Linked DNA regions of Saccharomyces cerevisiae S288C. The protein of the gene in region 1 binds, or shares a complex with, the protein of each later gene. Each region holds a gene or a part of one and is shown on either strand. Other genes may lie near its edges. A codon is read from its position in the direction of its gene.

Region 1 (9,501 bases):
AAAGGCAATATATGAATGCAGTGCTTGTAACTGGTGCTTGTATCCAAGAATAGCTTCTTGCTGTAGGTTATGGGAATATCGTGTAAGCTGGGGTGACTTTTGAGCTATTCGCGACGCCCGACGCCGTAATAACTACTTTCGACAGACCACTTATGACAGTATTTCAGGCCGCTCTTATAAAATGACATGTTAACAAACAGTTCTGATTATTCGCCTTTTGACAGGACGATAATGTAAATAGTTGTGGTAGTATCATTCAGGTATGTAACTGTTTACTTTGTATCGCTTGAAAAAAATAAGCATTTCAGAGCCTTCTTTGGAGCTCAAGTGGATTGAGGCCACAGCAAGACCGGCCAGTTTGAATGCTCAACTCTTCAAAAGAAATTCCTCAAATATGTCCAGTTTCATGTACTGTCCGGTGTGATTTATTATTTTTTATTTACTTTGTAGTTCTTAAAGCTAAGATTTTTTTCTTTGATAAATTCTTGTTTTCATATCCTAAAATTAAAGGGAAAATAAACAATACATAACAAAACATATAAAAACCAACACAATAAAAAAAAGGATCAAATACTCATTAAAGTAACTTACACGGGGGCTAAAAACGGAGTTTGATGAATATTCACAAGATAAAAATCATATGTATGTTTCTGATATATCGATATACAATCAAACACTTTCAAGAATTTGTTTGTAGACTTTTTGCTAGAGACCTCATCAAAGTGCTACCAACTAAGATCAACTTATACTTCTTTTAGAGAAAATTTTTTTCAATGTACTCCAAAGAGATTTAGATCCTGTCTCTTCCTCTTCCTCTTCCTCGAAAGTCAAAGAAAAATCAGAGTCTCCCTGCTTATTCAGGCGGAGAGGCTCTAGGGTAGTTGCGTTTCTCTCATTGGGACACTGAACCTCATTTTCCAACATTTTGGTCATGTAAGAGGCGACAGGCTCATCGCAGGTGGGTGCATCAACATGGTAGTACCTGGACCAAGCGCTACATTGAGTCCCTCCTGGATAAACACCGCTACAATATTGTCTTTGGACGTTTGCCCAAACCATATCTTTTGAATACCAAAGCTGGACCACATTGTATGGCCTAATCATTGGTGCTACCATAATACTGGATTGGGAAACAGTCTGGTTAATTTTTTTCAACCAATTTTTCTTATCTAGCAATGATTTAATAAACCTGAAATCTAAATTGTCTTCGTTAGCGTCTGTGTCATAATCTACAATTGAGTACTGTGACGTCCAATTATATGGCACCGAGATGGGGAATCTGTCCGGTGTTTCGTCGCTGTTATCCTTCTCCTCCCTCCAAATGCAGTCAGAGGCAGGTGCCCATTCGGTTCGCCAGTCTCCGTTATTTACTACTTGGTACTGTTCCCAATCGTAATACGTTTCCTCTGGGTTGAAGATACTTGCTCTGCTCTTGACATTGCCCATAGCCACACCACGAGAAACATCGTGGAAGATTACGGAGCTGTTTACGATAGCAGGAGCAATGGATTTGACGAATGACACTTGATAAAAGTCTTTGGTCGAAAATACAGTATCAACGCCGTCGTGGGACTCGACCCCTGGTAGAAGAAGCAGAGCATCTAGATCAACGGTAGATGCTGCAGAGGTCAAAGCCACAAAGAGGGAAGATGCAGTTACGAGGTATTTACTAAACATTGGTTCGAAGTGATTACAGATTTTTCTCTCTTGAACCCTGGAATTGCAATAGCTTGGTTCCTATTGGGACCGGACCCTCTTGCGTAAAGTATATATTTAGAAGCAGCTATTTAAATCTGAATGCAAGACGAAAAAAAGCTCGTTTATAGGAGAAAAATACCAAAAAAAGGAAAACCATACACATTCGGGTATCCCAGCTTTGCTTGCAAAATCAATCGATGAGCAAGACAAACAGGGCCAGCTGATGCATATGTTTTGTGTTGCTTTCCTACGATCAGCTAATGCGAGTGTTATAAATATTCCCCTAGTTTTCTTCTCCTCCTTTATGTAACAATAACTTGTGGACTTCCCCAACATAAGACTAAAAGCAAAGGGATAACAAGGGATTTATCTTATTCCATCCCTTTGCCTAGCGCACTGTTACGCAGCTGATCTTATCAACAAGTGTGGTTCTTGCCTCTAAGATTTACATTGCCTTTTCCCAAAGGGAAGGTGGGACAAAACTCATTTTCCCTAAGGGGAAACGTAAGATACCCTTTAGGGAAGATAAGGGAAGTTAGTAGATTGACGACGTAAATCTGTGATGAGATGAAAAAAAAAGATTAGCATCTATATAAGAAAGTACATAACCTCCATTTAAGTTGAAAAAAATTTGTATGTAATGTCTTTTCTTCCTCTTTTCTTTATTTCATTCTCACCGCTAAATCGATAACGGCTAAAACAATTAAAGCTCCCTTTTCAAACCTTATACTTCCGTTAAATAATGCAAATCAAAAACATTGTCGCTGTTCTAGCTACAGTCACTGCTATCAACGCCCAAGTTGGCATTGAACCTAACGCCACTACTCCAAATGCTACGCAGCCAAATGCTACGCAGCCAAATACTACTCTTCCTACCGCTTCGGTGACTACGACAGTTTCGATTGGCGAAGCCGTAGTTAATACCATGGCGGCGGGTGCCTTTGGAGCAGCAATCGCTGCCGGTGTTGCCTTCTTATTCTAGGAACATTTTTATTTCCTTTATTTTTTTCTTTCTTTCTAATTCCATAACCGTTGTTCAAAATTGGGGAGCTTTTTAACTTTCGTTCCATTAAGCTTTTTCTTTGTTCTTTACGTTTGATTCTATTTCAACCATAATTTATTTTTTCGTTATTTAATAATTACTAATATTTAATACTAGATGTATATACGTTGTGTGTATGCGCTACTATAGTATAGCTTAACTGTTTTATTATACCCTTTTTTTCTCTCTTTACTGTACAGAAGATGCGTCACTAATTCAAAAAAAAAAAAAAAAAAAAAAATATAAAAAAGAAAGATTTTGGAGAAGCTATATCCTTTTGTGACATACAATAGAGAAACTTGTTCTGTTGGTAAGATATCTCATCTGAAATACAACAAGGAAAACCAAAAGCCATTTTTTCATTACTTGATCGACTTATGAACCGTATTACTAGGAAAAGTTGTTTATTCGCGATTATATTTGCATCATTATTTGTGACACATGCATTGGGTGCCGCTATTGATCCGCCAAGGCGACCACATAATGTGAAGCCTTTTCATAACGGTAATCTCGAACTTCAAAGAAGAGCAAATGAACCGTTTTTTGAAATAGATGTCAAGAGTCTGAACACAAACTCACCGATATCAGAGTTGTGTAAAAAAGATTTGCACGTCATTGAATCGTCTCATGATCTTTTTCATTTACAAAACCAATGTGAATTCATCTTGGGGTCATTAAAAGTCACAAACTATGATTCTAACATTTTGGATTTGAACAGCTTGAGGGCCATTGGTGGTGACCTGATTATTCAGGATTCACCTGAACTGATCAGAATCCAAGCCGGGAACTTGAATAAAATCGAAGGGCTCTTCCAATTACAGGGACTAACCTCTTTGGTTTCTGTTGAAATTCCAACTTTGAAATTTTGTCAGTCACTGGAGTGGAAAGTTGTTCCCATCTTGAACTACGTCTCCATGGATTCTCAGAATATTGAGATTATAAAGGATATTGTCATATCGGATACTTCATTAGCAAACATCGAGAATTTCAACAAGGTTCAGGAAATTGATACTTTCAATATCAATAATAACAGATTTTTAGAAACTATTCATTCGAACGTTAAAACCATTAGGGGACAATTCAGTGTACATGCGAACGCTAAGGAGCTAGAACTTGAAATGCCACACTTGAGAGAAGTGGAAAACATAACGATTAGGGACACATCATTGGTCTACCTTCCACAATTAACAAAAGTGAAAAGCTCTTTAGAGTTCATCGAAAATTACTTTTACGAATTGAACCTGAACAATTTGCAGAAGATTGGTGGAACATTAGGAATTATCAACAATGTAAATTTAATAAAAGTTAATTTGGAGAACTTAACAGACATTCAAGGTGGCTTGATGATCGCCGATAACGAATCCCTCGAGGATATTACTTTCCTGCCAAACTTGAAGCAGATTGGAGGTGCTATTTTCTTTGAAGGTTCGTTCAAAGATATCATGTTCGATAGCTTGAAACTGGTGAAAGGTAGCGCTTTTATTAAGAGTTCATCAAACGTGTTGGATTGCAATAAATGGACAAACCCATCAAATGGAAGATCAATCATCAGGGGTGGGAAATTCACTTGTATTTCTGGTAAGAAGGAAAATACGCTGAATGTTAAACAGGATGGTACAATCATAGAAAAAGGGTACAAAGATTTAACGCAAGAAGGTGAAGACTCCAAGAAAAGAGTGATTTCAAAATACGCGAACTCAGCAAATCCAAGCATGCAATTGGACCCCCTTCTTTTTGGTACATGCCTTGTTGCTATGTTATTGTTTTAAGATTACTAGTCTAGTATAACAGAAAGTTTTTTTTGTTCCTAATATTATCTTTATCTATATACATATATCTCCATGAAAGGCATTTGAATTTCTATCTTTCTCTTTCAATCAAATATTGTCTTATTATTGATCAAATAATCGTATATGCACAATGGCAACTCGTCTTTCAAACTCTCCACTTGCCCATTCTTCAGTTTGTTCCTAATCTCGGATGATGAAACATTTCTTAATGCTGGATAATCATTTTGCATAACATGAATCCTAGCGCCCCATTCTCTTGGTATTACCGGTTCGAATTTTCCCTCAAGGATGTCACTGGCGTATCTTAGTTGCGATTCAGCACTGAGATGGCAATCGCCTCTCGCCAAGCAATATAATTGAGATCCCGACATGAAGCTCTCCATTACATCACTGATTTTTAAAGGATGATAATATTTTTCATCAAAGATCCTAGCAATTGTATCAAAACCAACTAAGTAGCCTATATCTGCACTGCATCCTTTAACAAATTGCTCATGTAATATTTTGTCCTTGTCGATGAATTTCGAGAAAACAGTCAACCCGACAGATACTACAGATTGGGGGAGCTTCTCCTGAAGGTAGTCAGCGAATAAGCACATCATTTCCAGACGAGTTGGAAAAGATGCCGGCTTAGGCAACTTATCTGCATTATTCACCGCTAACAGTAATAAAACATGCGAACGGGTGTCCTTCAATTTGAAGTTTTTAATAGTCTGCGATAGTAGTTGAAAATGGGCCAGATGTGGTGGATTGAATGAAGAATCAAGGACAAATAACTTCTGACATTCTAGATGCTGGGGTCCTTTGAGAACCTGAAATAGTAAATTGCTTTTTCGAAACTGCTCGAACGTCTTCTTCATATTAGTCTGCTAGTGCACGTACTGCTATCAACCGTCATTGATTAAGTGTCCATTTTCCAAAGAAGTAGGAGATTATATAACCACGAGTATGACGTCTTCCAGGGAAAAAAAAAAAAAAAAAAAAGAAAGCCAAAATAAGGAGCCTTGAAATGTGTATCTGATATATATAATGTGTATGTAAATATCTATTTAATTAGCCATTGGGATTTCAACTTCTTGTTTGAAACAGAAGGACGGATAAAATACGTGATCACCAACAAGACGAATATAGTAATAAGCAATTTACCCTTTTCGAAAGTAGGACTCATTAAATCAAATTGGCCCGAAGGTGTGATCCTTGTACAAAATACATCAAGGCCTAGATCACATATAATGCTTGTGGATTCCAGATTGGTTGGGATGGAGATCAACTGCGAATCGGATCCTGGCAATAGATTTCTGAAATGAGTGATAATGAAATTATCATTAATTGGGATAACTGGCGTGTATGGGGTAGCCATAAACTCTTTTTTCTTATCCTTGGCCATTTCTTCTGCTGGTTTACCTCTTGCATTCAATAAAAGCTTTGGTATGTAGGTGATTTGTCCATTTTCTAATTCCATAACGATTGCCTTTGTGGTAATATCATCCGTTGTCTTGGAAATGGACATTGTTTTGATAATCTCGGGAAAAATGAATTGTTTAGTTTGAAATTGAGGTTTGTTAATGTGTCCAGTCAATGGATCATAAGAAAAATTGTCGCTTGAGTTAGACAAACGCTCATCTGGGGTTAGTGACTCATATAATTCCACCACTACTAACTTTTGTTCTGGAACAGGTTCAGAACTGAAATAGGAATAAACGACCCAATATTCACCGAAAACAATATCCATTGGAAACCTAAAATCCGGAGAATCCTTGTGCTCTTGGGTAATGAGGATTTCTCCTGTAATGGTATCAATTAAGTTAAAAGTGATTGTATGATGTTCTTCATTAGCGATCAGATAAGCCGCTAGGTTGGGGTACAAATATTTATAAAGAACCGATTTGTCACCTAGTGTAATACCAAGAGTGTTTAGGTTTGTTGTTTCCCTCTTGCTATATGCCACCATTTTCTCTTTCGAATTTACGGCTTTTTTCCAAGTTTGTTTTACCGTATCGTTTTCGATTATGTAGCCATAAATGCCATTCGTGTCATGCTCTGTGACGAATATGTGGGAACTAGAATGGTTGTTGGCAACTATTGGTACATCCGTATTCTTGCCGGGATTCAATTTGAACAGTAAATGATCCTTATCCTCAAACTTAATCAGATACTGGTGATCATGTTCATTCAGCCTAATAACGGAATCAACAGTTTTCCTTTCAGATAGGGGGGATCTTGATTTGATAATCGGTTGATCTTTAGTAACTTCAATTGTCAAATAATGCCCATCATGCGAAAAAACAACAAGTTCGTCATGGTTTTTATCCGTCCAGAACATTTTGACGCCCTGATCAATTTCTAAATCGAGTTTCCAGATAAGTTGGCCCTTATTGACCATATCAAGGCCGCCGATAAAGCCATCATGCGTCAAAACAATTAAGATTTTGGCGAATCCGAACTTCAAATCTGATACCGTGGTATCCTTAGCGTCTAGAGCTAGGAGTTTAGTGAAGACACGTCCTGGTGAGAATTGGTTTTCTTTCAATAAGTTGATAAGGCGATTCCAATTAGTTGTCAATCTAAGCCAGTAAGCATTCCAAAGCGAATTTGAATCAAGTTCCGCTTTCATATCTTTGTTCAACTCCACATCCCTAGAATCGAAGACGTCCAATACAGCATAGTCTACCACGTTAGTCAACCATTCATCTCTTTGCCAAACGGGGATCAATTCTGTGCCATTGGCAGAGAATCCCATATATTGGGTATCATTAACGTTCAACACTAACGCCAGGGGATCTTCACGATGAAAATATTCCACTTTATTGAACCCTTGAGGTAACTCCAATTTCCATTCTGCCAGTTTTGACTGCTCATCGAGAATATGTAGTTCATTGTTCTTAATAGATACTTGATCGTTTAAATATGAGGATTGAGGTAAAATGGTCGTAGAAGGGGCATTATCTACGCCTTCCTCTAGTAAAAACCAATCGTGTAAATCATATTTCTGCCAATGGTTGCTTGAAGAGTTCACACAAACCATTGCGTTATGGTCATTACTATCCAGTTGAATCTCATCAATGGTAAAGGGTAAAACGTTTCTGAAAAGAATCTGTCCGGAAGAAACGTTAAACGAAGAAACTAAGCAGGAAGTTTCGGTAGGGTTCGATAAGATGAGAACCCTGTTGCGGTCTCGAGAATCAGGGATGACTTTCTCCCAAGGACCTAAGTTAGCCAGTTGCCAATCAGTGATAAATGCATCATCTGAAAAAACGGCTTGGACACAACTCGTGTTTAGGAAGAGTAAAATGAAGACGTACACCAAGTCTGTACACGTTATCTTCATTGCTATGGGGGAAGGGGAGGATGAAAGTGTTGATATGAATGTAGGTATTAGTTATTAATGGAGTGTATATATATATATGTTATTATATATTTGCATATATAATATGAAATCCCAGCCATATTTTCTCTGGTAGCCGTCTGAAAAATCACGGTGTACGAAGAAGGATTTAATATACGCACGGTACAACTAAGCAATCCGCAAAGACCTAATGTGTCTTTTCATTAGTGAGAGCCTTGGGGGTAGGCCCTGGTAACGGCTGGTCCGTGCTAGTGGGTGTCTTGGTATGGGAGGGCATGGTAGTTGGTATGAATTTGATGCTTAGCGAAGTTTCTAAGGCCAAAGTCATCCATGGATCATAAAGCGATCTTATTGTATCGAGATCAATATCTTGCGGGCCTTTCGTGTCATGGGGCAAAATGACACCTCGGGAGAGTGTGGTGCTGGATCTCTTCTTTACTGGTGCGGAAATGGAATCTCCCGAAGATGCTAAGAAATGCAGTCTTTTTTCCACATTTTGTAGATGGAGTTTTTTGGACTCGGAAAGACCTTCAAGGCCAGTAGAAGAAGACTGCGGATTGTGGGATATGGAATTGATGAGTTCAATGGAATTTTCTCTAATGTTTCTTTTATTTTGAAAAAACTCGAACATGTCCAAGTGAAATTCCATGCGATTGAGGTACTCGTTGAAAGACATGGGCTTGTATTCCAAGGGTCCGAACCATTTAATAATGGGATTCTGCGCCTCAACTTGCGCTCTAGCGAGAGCGACGCTTTGTTTGACCTCAGGGATATTTGTCGAGAGAGGAGTACCGTTCATAGCATCCTTGACTTTTATTTTGGTGGGGTCTATGCCCTCGTGATAATATTTGACAATATTGTTGAAAAACTTCTTGTCACGTACGGATTTCATTTCGTCGCACCAGGGGTCGTATTTAAGAAAGTTCAGGCGAGTAAGCTCCAACAGTGACTGAGAAAGTAGCAAAGAGCCAAACAACCCCCATAAGAGCTTTCTGACGCTGACGAATCGAGATTGGCGAGGTATGATGGGAGGAGGGGCGAGCACAATGTCACCATGGGTGGTGGAGAAGCGGTTCAAAGTTGGAAAGTCAGCAATATCCTTTTTGATTTTAGTCTTGCCATTGACAATCATTTCACTGGGTAGTTCGCCAAAGGATAAATCCGAGTGAGTGCCAGTGGCAATGCGGCGCGGTGGCGGTAGTTTGTAGAGCCTTCTCAGTCTCCAAAGGGCAAAGAAACCCACTGCAGATTGGATAGTGATTAGAGTGTATAGTCCCGGTAGGTTATCAGGAGCGGGTACGAGCGGACCCCACAGTTTTAAGCCTAAACTTGGCCTTATGTAGAATTTCTTGATATCATTATCATCTTTGTCGTGGTCATCTTGTGTGTGAGTATGGTCGGTGGAATTGCTATTACCTGATGGAGGAGTAAATACAGCCATCTTTTATTACGGTAATTGGAAAAGGAGAGGGAATGGAGGAGGATGAGATAAGTAGTTTCCTAAGCAGTAAAGCAAGTGTCCACATTTAAGTAAAAGACGATGCCATGCACTTATTATTACTACGTGGTCAATTTTCTCTTTCCCTAAGGCGTTCGTGCAGTGTGACGAATATAGCGAACAACTA
Region 2 (2,755 bases), on another chromosome or scaffold:
TTGAAATTCCTTACGTCAGTGAAACGCAAAATTTGAAAATACGTAAAAACCCTACCATTGGAGATTTATTCAAAATTAAACTTCATGACCTTGGGTTTTTTCCAAAGTTTCTACAATTATTCTTAAGATATCCTTGGAATAACTTTTGGCACAACATTGTATTTGATATTATTCAGCAGATATTCAATGGTCGAATGGATTTTTCTTATAACTCATTTTTGGTCTATTCTTTGTTTGATTTCAAAAAGTCTACAAGATTTATCCCAAAACCTTTGTACGGCAGCAACCAAAAGTTACCTGTTAAAGACTTCCATATTATCTCTGATTTCATTTTACAAGGCCACAAGGATTCGTTTGAATTTTACGAAAAAGAGAAAACAAATTTAGGTTATATGGGTCAATTAGTATTAATTGCCGAAGAAATTGCGAAGTATTCCAAAATTTATAAGACCGATCTAATTGCTCCAGATATATATGCCTTCTTACAAGATGAAGTTTGGATGTCATATTCTAGTGACATCTTGAACGAAACAAGGACAATGTGTTCAATAATTCTTGGTGGAGGCCAGTTCTGTGCCGAAAGCGATGAAAATACTAACCAGGACTTTTTGGAAAAAGCTGATATGAGTAAACCAGCTCATCCATCCACAATGGATGAGAATGAAATTGTTCACGAGGAGGATGTTAAGTTGCATGATAAAGTTGCCGAGCTCATAGATGAATTGGGTCAATTAACCGAATTAGATATTCATGATAAAATTAAAGATGTTATTGTTGATCATCATTCCGACTTAAATTGATTAGGTTAAGTCGTCAAACCAATTTTGACTTTTTTTTTCCTACATTTTTAATATTTTGTTTCTCGTTTTGCCTTATTTAATTTTGTGACATGTAAAAATTACGAAGCCTATTGGGGGCCAATTGAAGTAAACTAAATATAACAATAGTCCTTTGTAGTTCAGGAATGTTCACCAACTATTCACCAAAAATTATTGTCTAGCTTACTTTCAATAACTTATAGCTATCTATACAAAAATAATCATATAACTAAAGTCAGGCCCAAACCAGGCAAAACAAAACCATAATAATGGGAATTATTACACTATCCGGCAATGTTCTACATTTATTGAAAGCCTACCCAAAAAAGGGCCTTGAAGAGGTTTCTCAACCAGAGCCTAATACAGCAAATGATTCCTCGACTGAATATAAAGGAAAAAGCAAGGATGATTTTCAAATGGTCGAAAAATCCAATACAGATGAGAGATACAATTTTACAAGAACGAAAAAATGGTTTTTATTGATGACCTCAGAATATTACAAACTAATGGAAAACAGACTTTTAATGTTTTGCATTATCGCTTGCTCTTTTATTTGTGCTATCCAATTTCTTTTCTTTATAATTTATTGGACCAACATTGTTCCACGGAAGACGCAAAGGGCAATAACTAACCTAAATTACGATTATTTAACAGCCCATCTAAAAGAGCAATGCGTTCCATATGCGAAAATTCTTGACCAATGTATTCTCTAGCAATCTCTGCTTTTGTACATTCGTAGTTTTTTCATGTTCCTTTCATAAATAATAAAAAAAGCGTATTCTTTTCTATATAAATAGAATGAAAAAAAGTTGAACATAATATCAGTTAAGGTTAAAATAAAGCCAAACGATATAAGCAACAGAAATGAGTGAACAGGAGCCTTACGAATGGGCTAAACACCTATTGGACACCAAGTATATCGAAAAATACAACATTCAGAACTCAAACACATTACCTTCACCACCAGGATTTGAAGGTAATTCCTCTAAAGGAAATGTTACAAGAAAACAACAAGATGCTACATCTCAAACTACTTCTTTGGCACAAAAAAACCAAATAACAGTATTACAAGTACAGAAGGCATGGCAAATTGCGTTACAACCAGCCAAATCTATTCCGATGAATATTTTTATGTCGTATATGTCCGGTACATCCTTACAAATCATTCCTATAATGACTGCCCTCATGCTACTCTCTGGACCCATTAAAGCAATATTTTCAACAAGGAGTGCATTCAAACCAGTGTTGGGTAATAAAGCAACACAAAGTCAAGTGCAAACTGCTATGTTCATGTATATCGTATTCCAAGGCGTCTTAATGTACATTGGATACAGGAAACTAAATTCAATGGGTCTCATTCCTAACGCTAAGGGTGATTGGCTACCCTGGGAACGAATTGCTCATTATAATAATGGATTACAATGGTTTTCCGATTGAGAGCGTATATACTTATATAAAATATCTATTCTGTTTCATATATGATTATTGTTTTACACTCTTATCTTCATCCTTTCGGAATTTCGATTCATAAAGCTGTTGAACGTTGTATTTACGATATTTGGTTTTATAATCCCCATCGACTACACACATTCCGATATTGCTCTTAAAACATTCCACTAGAATCAATTTATCATAGTTCTTCAAGTCCACAGTATGATTAAACTCAGAACCCTCTTTATTGACCAGCTTCACAACTTGATTAATGATGTCCATTCTTTCAATCGTATTGAAATTTCTTCTTGTCACTTCTACAGCAAATTTATAATTTTTTTTAACATTCGAAGGGTCATGAAAGTGTGGCCCAATAACCAAATTGGCCAACTTGATTAATTGCTCCATTTTTGCATTACAAGAGTACGTAATAGGTGTTAATTTCTGAACATATCTAGTACGTTTAACCATATTTTTGGGATCCGCTAAGTCTTTCATGATACTTA
Region 3 (3,259 bases), on another chromosome or scaffold:
CAGAAATGTTTTGTGACAGCACCTGTCAATTTTAGGATAGTAGCAATCGCAAACGTTCTCAATAATTCTAAGAATGACATCAGTTCAAAACTCTCCACGCTTACAACAACCTCAGGAACAGCAACAGCAACAGCAACAGCTTTCCTTAAAGATAAAACAATTGAAGTTAAAAAGAATCAACGAACTTAACAATAAACTGAGGAAAGAACTCAGCCGTGAAAGAATTACTGCTTCAAATGCATGTCTTACAATAATAAACTATACCTCGAATACAAAAGATTATACATTACCAGAACTATGGGGCTACCCCGTAGCAGGATCAAATCATTTTATAGAGGGTTTGAAAAATGCTCAAAAAAATAGCCAAATGTCAAACTCAAATAGTGTTTGTTGTACGCTTATGTAATGATAGTAATAGAATCCAAAAAAAAAAAAAATATACATGCTTTTTCATATCCTCTCTCACCCTATCTTTTTTTTTCTTCTAATTTTGGCTCCGTTCATATCTTATTCAAAATTAATTCAGCGGTAATCTTATCTTTATTGTTAGACTTCGCAGAAATTTCCTTTAGCTTCGATGCAGATAGTTTGATCAAGTCATTTTGTTTATTACGTCCCAGTTCGCGAGAAATGATGTTAACCAATGCCCACCCTTTTAGGTATAGTTCGCTAAGTTCAACGCTCCTCAAAGCATTCTTTAATGCCTTTTCCAAGAGCTCGGTCTTGGTTTGTTTCTTGCTACGTAGAGCCTCATAATACAGAGTCTCACTTAGCCTACCAAAACAAGCGTAATTGAATGGTGTAATACATAGGACCTGTTCCAAACAATAACAGGCTTTTTCAAATTGGCCCATTTCGAAATAAATCTCGCTGGCATACCACCACAATTCTGCATCAAGCGGGAATTTATCTGTAAGAGCTACCACTTCTTTAAGAACACTTTCTTGGCTCAAGTTCTTGGAAGTTGTCTTGATAGCTATCAATTTCTTTGCAATAGAGACATAAGTAACGAAGTCCGTTTCATACTCCAGATCATCATTCAACAAATTTTCCAGATATTCAATAGCGCCTTTATCATTTCCGTTTATCTGCAATAAAGTGGCTTTCATGATTACCATTTTATACGAATTTTCACCAAGACGATCTCTTAATGTATTATAAACAACTTGCGCATCAACGTCTTGGTTTCGGTACACCAAAACATAGAAAAGCATTTCCATCAAGAAGAAATAGTTTCCTTCTGTTAGTGCAGAGTCTCCGCTTTTCATGTAAATTTTCATTTCATTTTCTAGTTGCAGTAATTGTTCTGGATTAAATTGAGTATACGCTTTGGTATTCATAATTGTCAAAAGCTTTTCTCTAACCAAATCCTTCAACATTGTTTTATCTACTGCTTTCTATAATTTTCTCCGTTCCAATGCGATCCAATGCCTTTCATTCATACATAGTTATTTATTTCATTAACGATCCAAATCTCTTTACTTAACTTCACTAGTCAACGCTTCTAACACATCACGCGATACGAAGATTAACAGTTTAGTATAATATTGCAATACATACCCATTTCACACATCGGTCAAGGTCATCAAGCACTTTTAGTTATAGTGTGTCCTATAGTTCTTTCAGATTGATTGAGGTTTCATATTAGTGTTGAAAGCCTAGCTAAAGTTCTCTGGGCGTGCAACATTCGAGGACACATCGGTTGTTTATACCTCATGGGATTATGGATGGTCAAATAGATAAAATGGAGAAGCGATATAGCATGACCAAACTGGAGAATAGGTTAAGGACTTTCCAAGATGGTGTTGCACTTGAAAAAAAAAAGTTAAAGTGGAGTTTTAAAGTTATTCCGTATCAGGCAATGGCCAAGCTTGGATTTTACTTTGATCCAGTGATCGATCCTAAGACATCTAAACTGAAAAAAGACTCTGTAAGATGTTGCTATTGTCATCGTCAAACATACAATGTGAGAGACTGCAGATCCAAAAGAAAAGATGTTCTTGAGACTCTAAGCAATATAATGAGGCAACATCTGACTGTTACTGATAACAAACAAGTTTGCCTCCTTATTTACTTGCGCAATAAGCTATTGACGGACTATAGCTTCCATATGGGGGTTTCGGACTGGAAAAATGACAAGTACTTCAGCAATCCAGATGATGAAAACGTGATAAACCTAAGAAAATTTACTTTTCAAGATAACTGGCCTCACAGTGGTTCTCAAAATGAACATCCGCTGGGTATAGAAAAGATGGTGAATGCAGGACTCATGCGATACGACTCCAGCATAGAAGGCTTAGGCGATCCAAGCATGGATAAAACACTTATGAACGATACCTGTTATTGTATTTATTGCAAACAGTTGTTACAAGGTTGGTCAATAAATGACGATCCGATGAGCCGACATTATAAGGTTTCTCAAAATGGGAACTGTTATTTCTTTCAGACACGTAATCGATTTGAGAGAATAAAAAATGACAATGACAGTATCACGAAAAATTGCGAAGTCTCTCCAACTTTAGGCGAAAATGGGAAAAGAGAAGTGATCAACACGAAAACCGCTTCTCAAAGGCAGTGTCCTTTATTTGAGTCACCTCCATCTAGTACTGGTCCTCAACTTGACGATTATAATGAGAAGACAGATATATCTGTTATTCAACATAATATAAGTGTGCTTGATGGAGCACAAGGCGAAAATGTAAAACGTAATAGTGTGGAAGAAAAAGAACAAATCAACATGGAAAATGGAAGCACTACATTAGAAGAGGGCAATATAAATCGTGATGTTTTAGCAGATAAGAAAGAAGTTATTTCGACACCAACTGCAAAAGAAATCAAACGTCCAAATGTCCAGCTAACCCAATCATCGTCACCTATAAAAAAGAAAAGAAAGTTTAAGAGAATATCGCCTAGAAAAATCTTTGATGAGGAAGATAGCGAACACTCCCTTAATAATAATTCTGCCAACGGAGACAACAAAGATAAGGATTTGGTTATAGATTTTACAAGCCATATCATAAAAAATAGAGATGTAGGGAGAAAGAATGCTATTTTAGATGACAGCACAGATGAATTCAGTTTCAGTAACCAAGGACATAACACATTTGACATACCTATACCAACCTCATCACATTTGCTCAAAGGTATAGATTCAGATAATGACAATGTTATACGAGAAGATGATACTGGCATAAATACAGACACAAAAGGAGCGTCTTCTAAACACGAAAAATTTTCTGTTAATTCTGAAGAAGATTTA

Evidence for each region.
Region 2: the proteins of EMC1 (region 1) and EMC4 are in contact, whole or in part, in a cryo-EM structure (PDB 6WB9), measured with the Saccharomyces cerevisiae proteins. Residues at the interface, in NP_009884.1 of Saccharomyces cerevisiae: Ser381 (codon at 6,718), Ile383 (codon at 6,712), Arg384 (codon at 6,709), Leu385 (codon at 6,706), Asn386 (codon at 6,703), Ser424 (codon at 6,589), His425 (codon at 6,586), Ile426 (codon at 6,583), Phe427 (codon at 6,580), Val428 (codon at 6,577), Thr429 (codon at 6,574), Glu430 (codon at 6,571), His431 (codon at 6,568), Tyr463 (codon at 6,472), Lys465 (codon at 6,466), Arg466 (codon at 6,463), Leu471 (codon at 6,448), Leu474 (codon at 6,439), Gly475 (codon at 6,436), Thr477 (codon at 6,430), Asp480 (codon at 6,421), Lys481 (codon at 6,418), Val483 (codon at 6,412), Tyr485 (codon at 6,406), Leu488 (codon at 6,397), Tyr489 (codon at 6,394), Pro490 (codon at 6,391), Asn491 (codon at 6,388), Leu492 (codon at 6,385), Thr512 (codon at 6,325); in NP_011283.1 of Saccharomyces cerevisiae: Gly163 (codon at 2,169), Ile165 (codon at 2,175), Ala168 (codon at 2,184), Lys169 (codon at 2,187), Gly170 (codon at 2,190), Asp171 (codon at 2,193), Leu173 (codon at 2,199), Glu176 (codon at 2,208), Arg177 (codon at 2,211), Ile178 (codon at 2,214), Ala179 (codon at 2,217), His180 (codon at 2,220), Tyr181 (codon at 2,223), Asn182 (codon at 2,226), Asn183 (codon at 2,229), Gly184 (codon at 2,232), Leu185 (codon at 2,235), Gln186 (codon at 2,238), Trp187 (codon at 2,241), Phe188 (codon at 2,244), Ser189 (codon at 2,247), Asp190 (codon at 2,250).
Region 3: the proteins of EMC1 (region 1) and EMC2 are in contact, whole or in part, in a cryo-EM structure (PDB 6WB9), measured with the Saccharomyces cerevisiae proteins. Residues at the interface, in NP_009884.1 of Saccharomyces cerevisiae: Ser749 (codon at 5,614), Asn750 (codon at 5,611), Leu753 (codon at 5,602), Gln756 (codon at 5,593), Trp757 (codon at 5,590), Leu758 (codon at 5,587), Ile759 (codon at 5,584); in NP_012621.1 of Saccharomyces cerevisiae: Glu47 (codon at 1,241), Gly48 (codon at 1,238), Phe51 (codon at 1,229), Phe52 (codon at 1,226), Glu55 (codon at 1,217), Leu77 (codon at 1,151), Arg80 (codon at 1,142), Leu81 (codon at 1,139), Asn84 (codon at 1,130), Ser85 (codon at 1,127), Tyr86 (codon at 1,124), Lys87 (codon at 1,121), Met88 (codon at 1,118), Asp122 (codon at 1,016), Val124 (codon at 1,010), Thr125 (codon at 1,007).

Annotation. Positions count from the first base shown.
Region 1 is NC_001135.5:39,048-48,548, forward strand, and holds EMC1 (Emc1p), read right to left. Parts: upstream 7,859-9,501; coding exon 5,576-7,858; downstream 1-5,575. Other genes in the region: YCL049C (uncharacterized protein), read right to left, coding at 739-1,677; YCL048W-A (uncharacterized protein), read left to right, coding at 2,441-2,680; SPS22 (Sps22p), read left to right, coding at 3,118-4,509; POF1 (nicotinamide-nucleotide adenylyltransferase), read right to left, coding at 4,614-5,390; MGR1 (Mgr1p), read right to left, coding at 8,064-9,317. UniProt on the Saccharomyces cerevisiae protein: Part of the endoplasmic reticulum membrane protein complex (EMC) that enables the energy-independent insertion into endoplasmic reticulum membranes of newly synthesized membrane proteins.
Region 2 is NC_001139.9:62,548-65,302, reverse strand, and holds EMC4 (chaperone EMC4), read left to right. Parts: upstream 1-1,682; coding exon 1,683-2,255; downstream 2,256-2,755. Other genes in the region: SAP4 (Sap4p), read left to right, coding at 1-800; YGL230C (uncharacterized protein), read left to right, coding at 1,088-1,531; TAN1 (putative tRNA acetyltransferase), read right to left, coding at 2,301-2,755. UniProt on the Saccharomyces cerevisiae protein: Part of the endoplasmic reticulum membrane protein complex (EMC) that enables the energy-independent insertion into endoplasmic reticulum membranes of newly synthesized membrane proteins.
Region 3 is NC_001142.9:585,995-589,253, forward strand, and holds EMC2 (Emc2p), read right to left. Parts: upstream 1,380-3,259; coding exon 501-1,379; downstream 1-500. Other genes in the region: STE18 (Ste18p), read left to right, coding at 74-406; BIR1 (survivin), read left to right, coding at 1,724-3,259. UniProt on the Saccharomyces cerevisiae protein: Part of the endoplasmic reticulum membrane protein complex (EMC) that enables the energy-independent insertion into endoplasmic reticulum membranes of newly synthesized membrane proteins.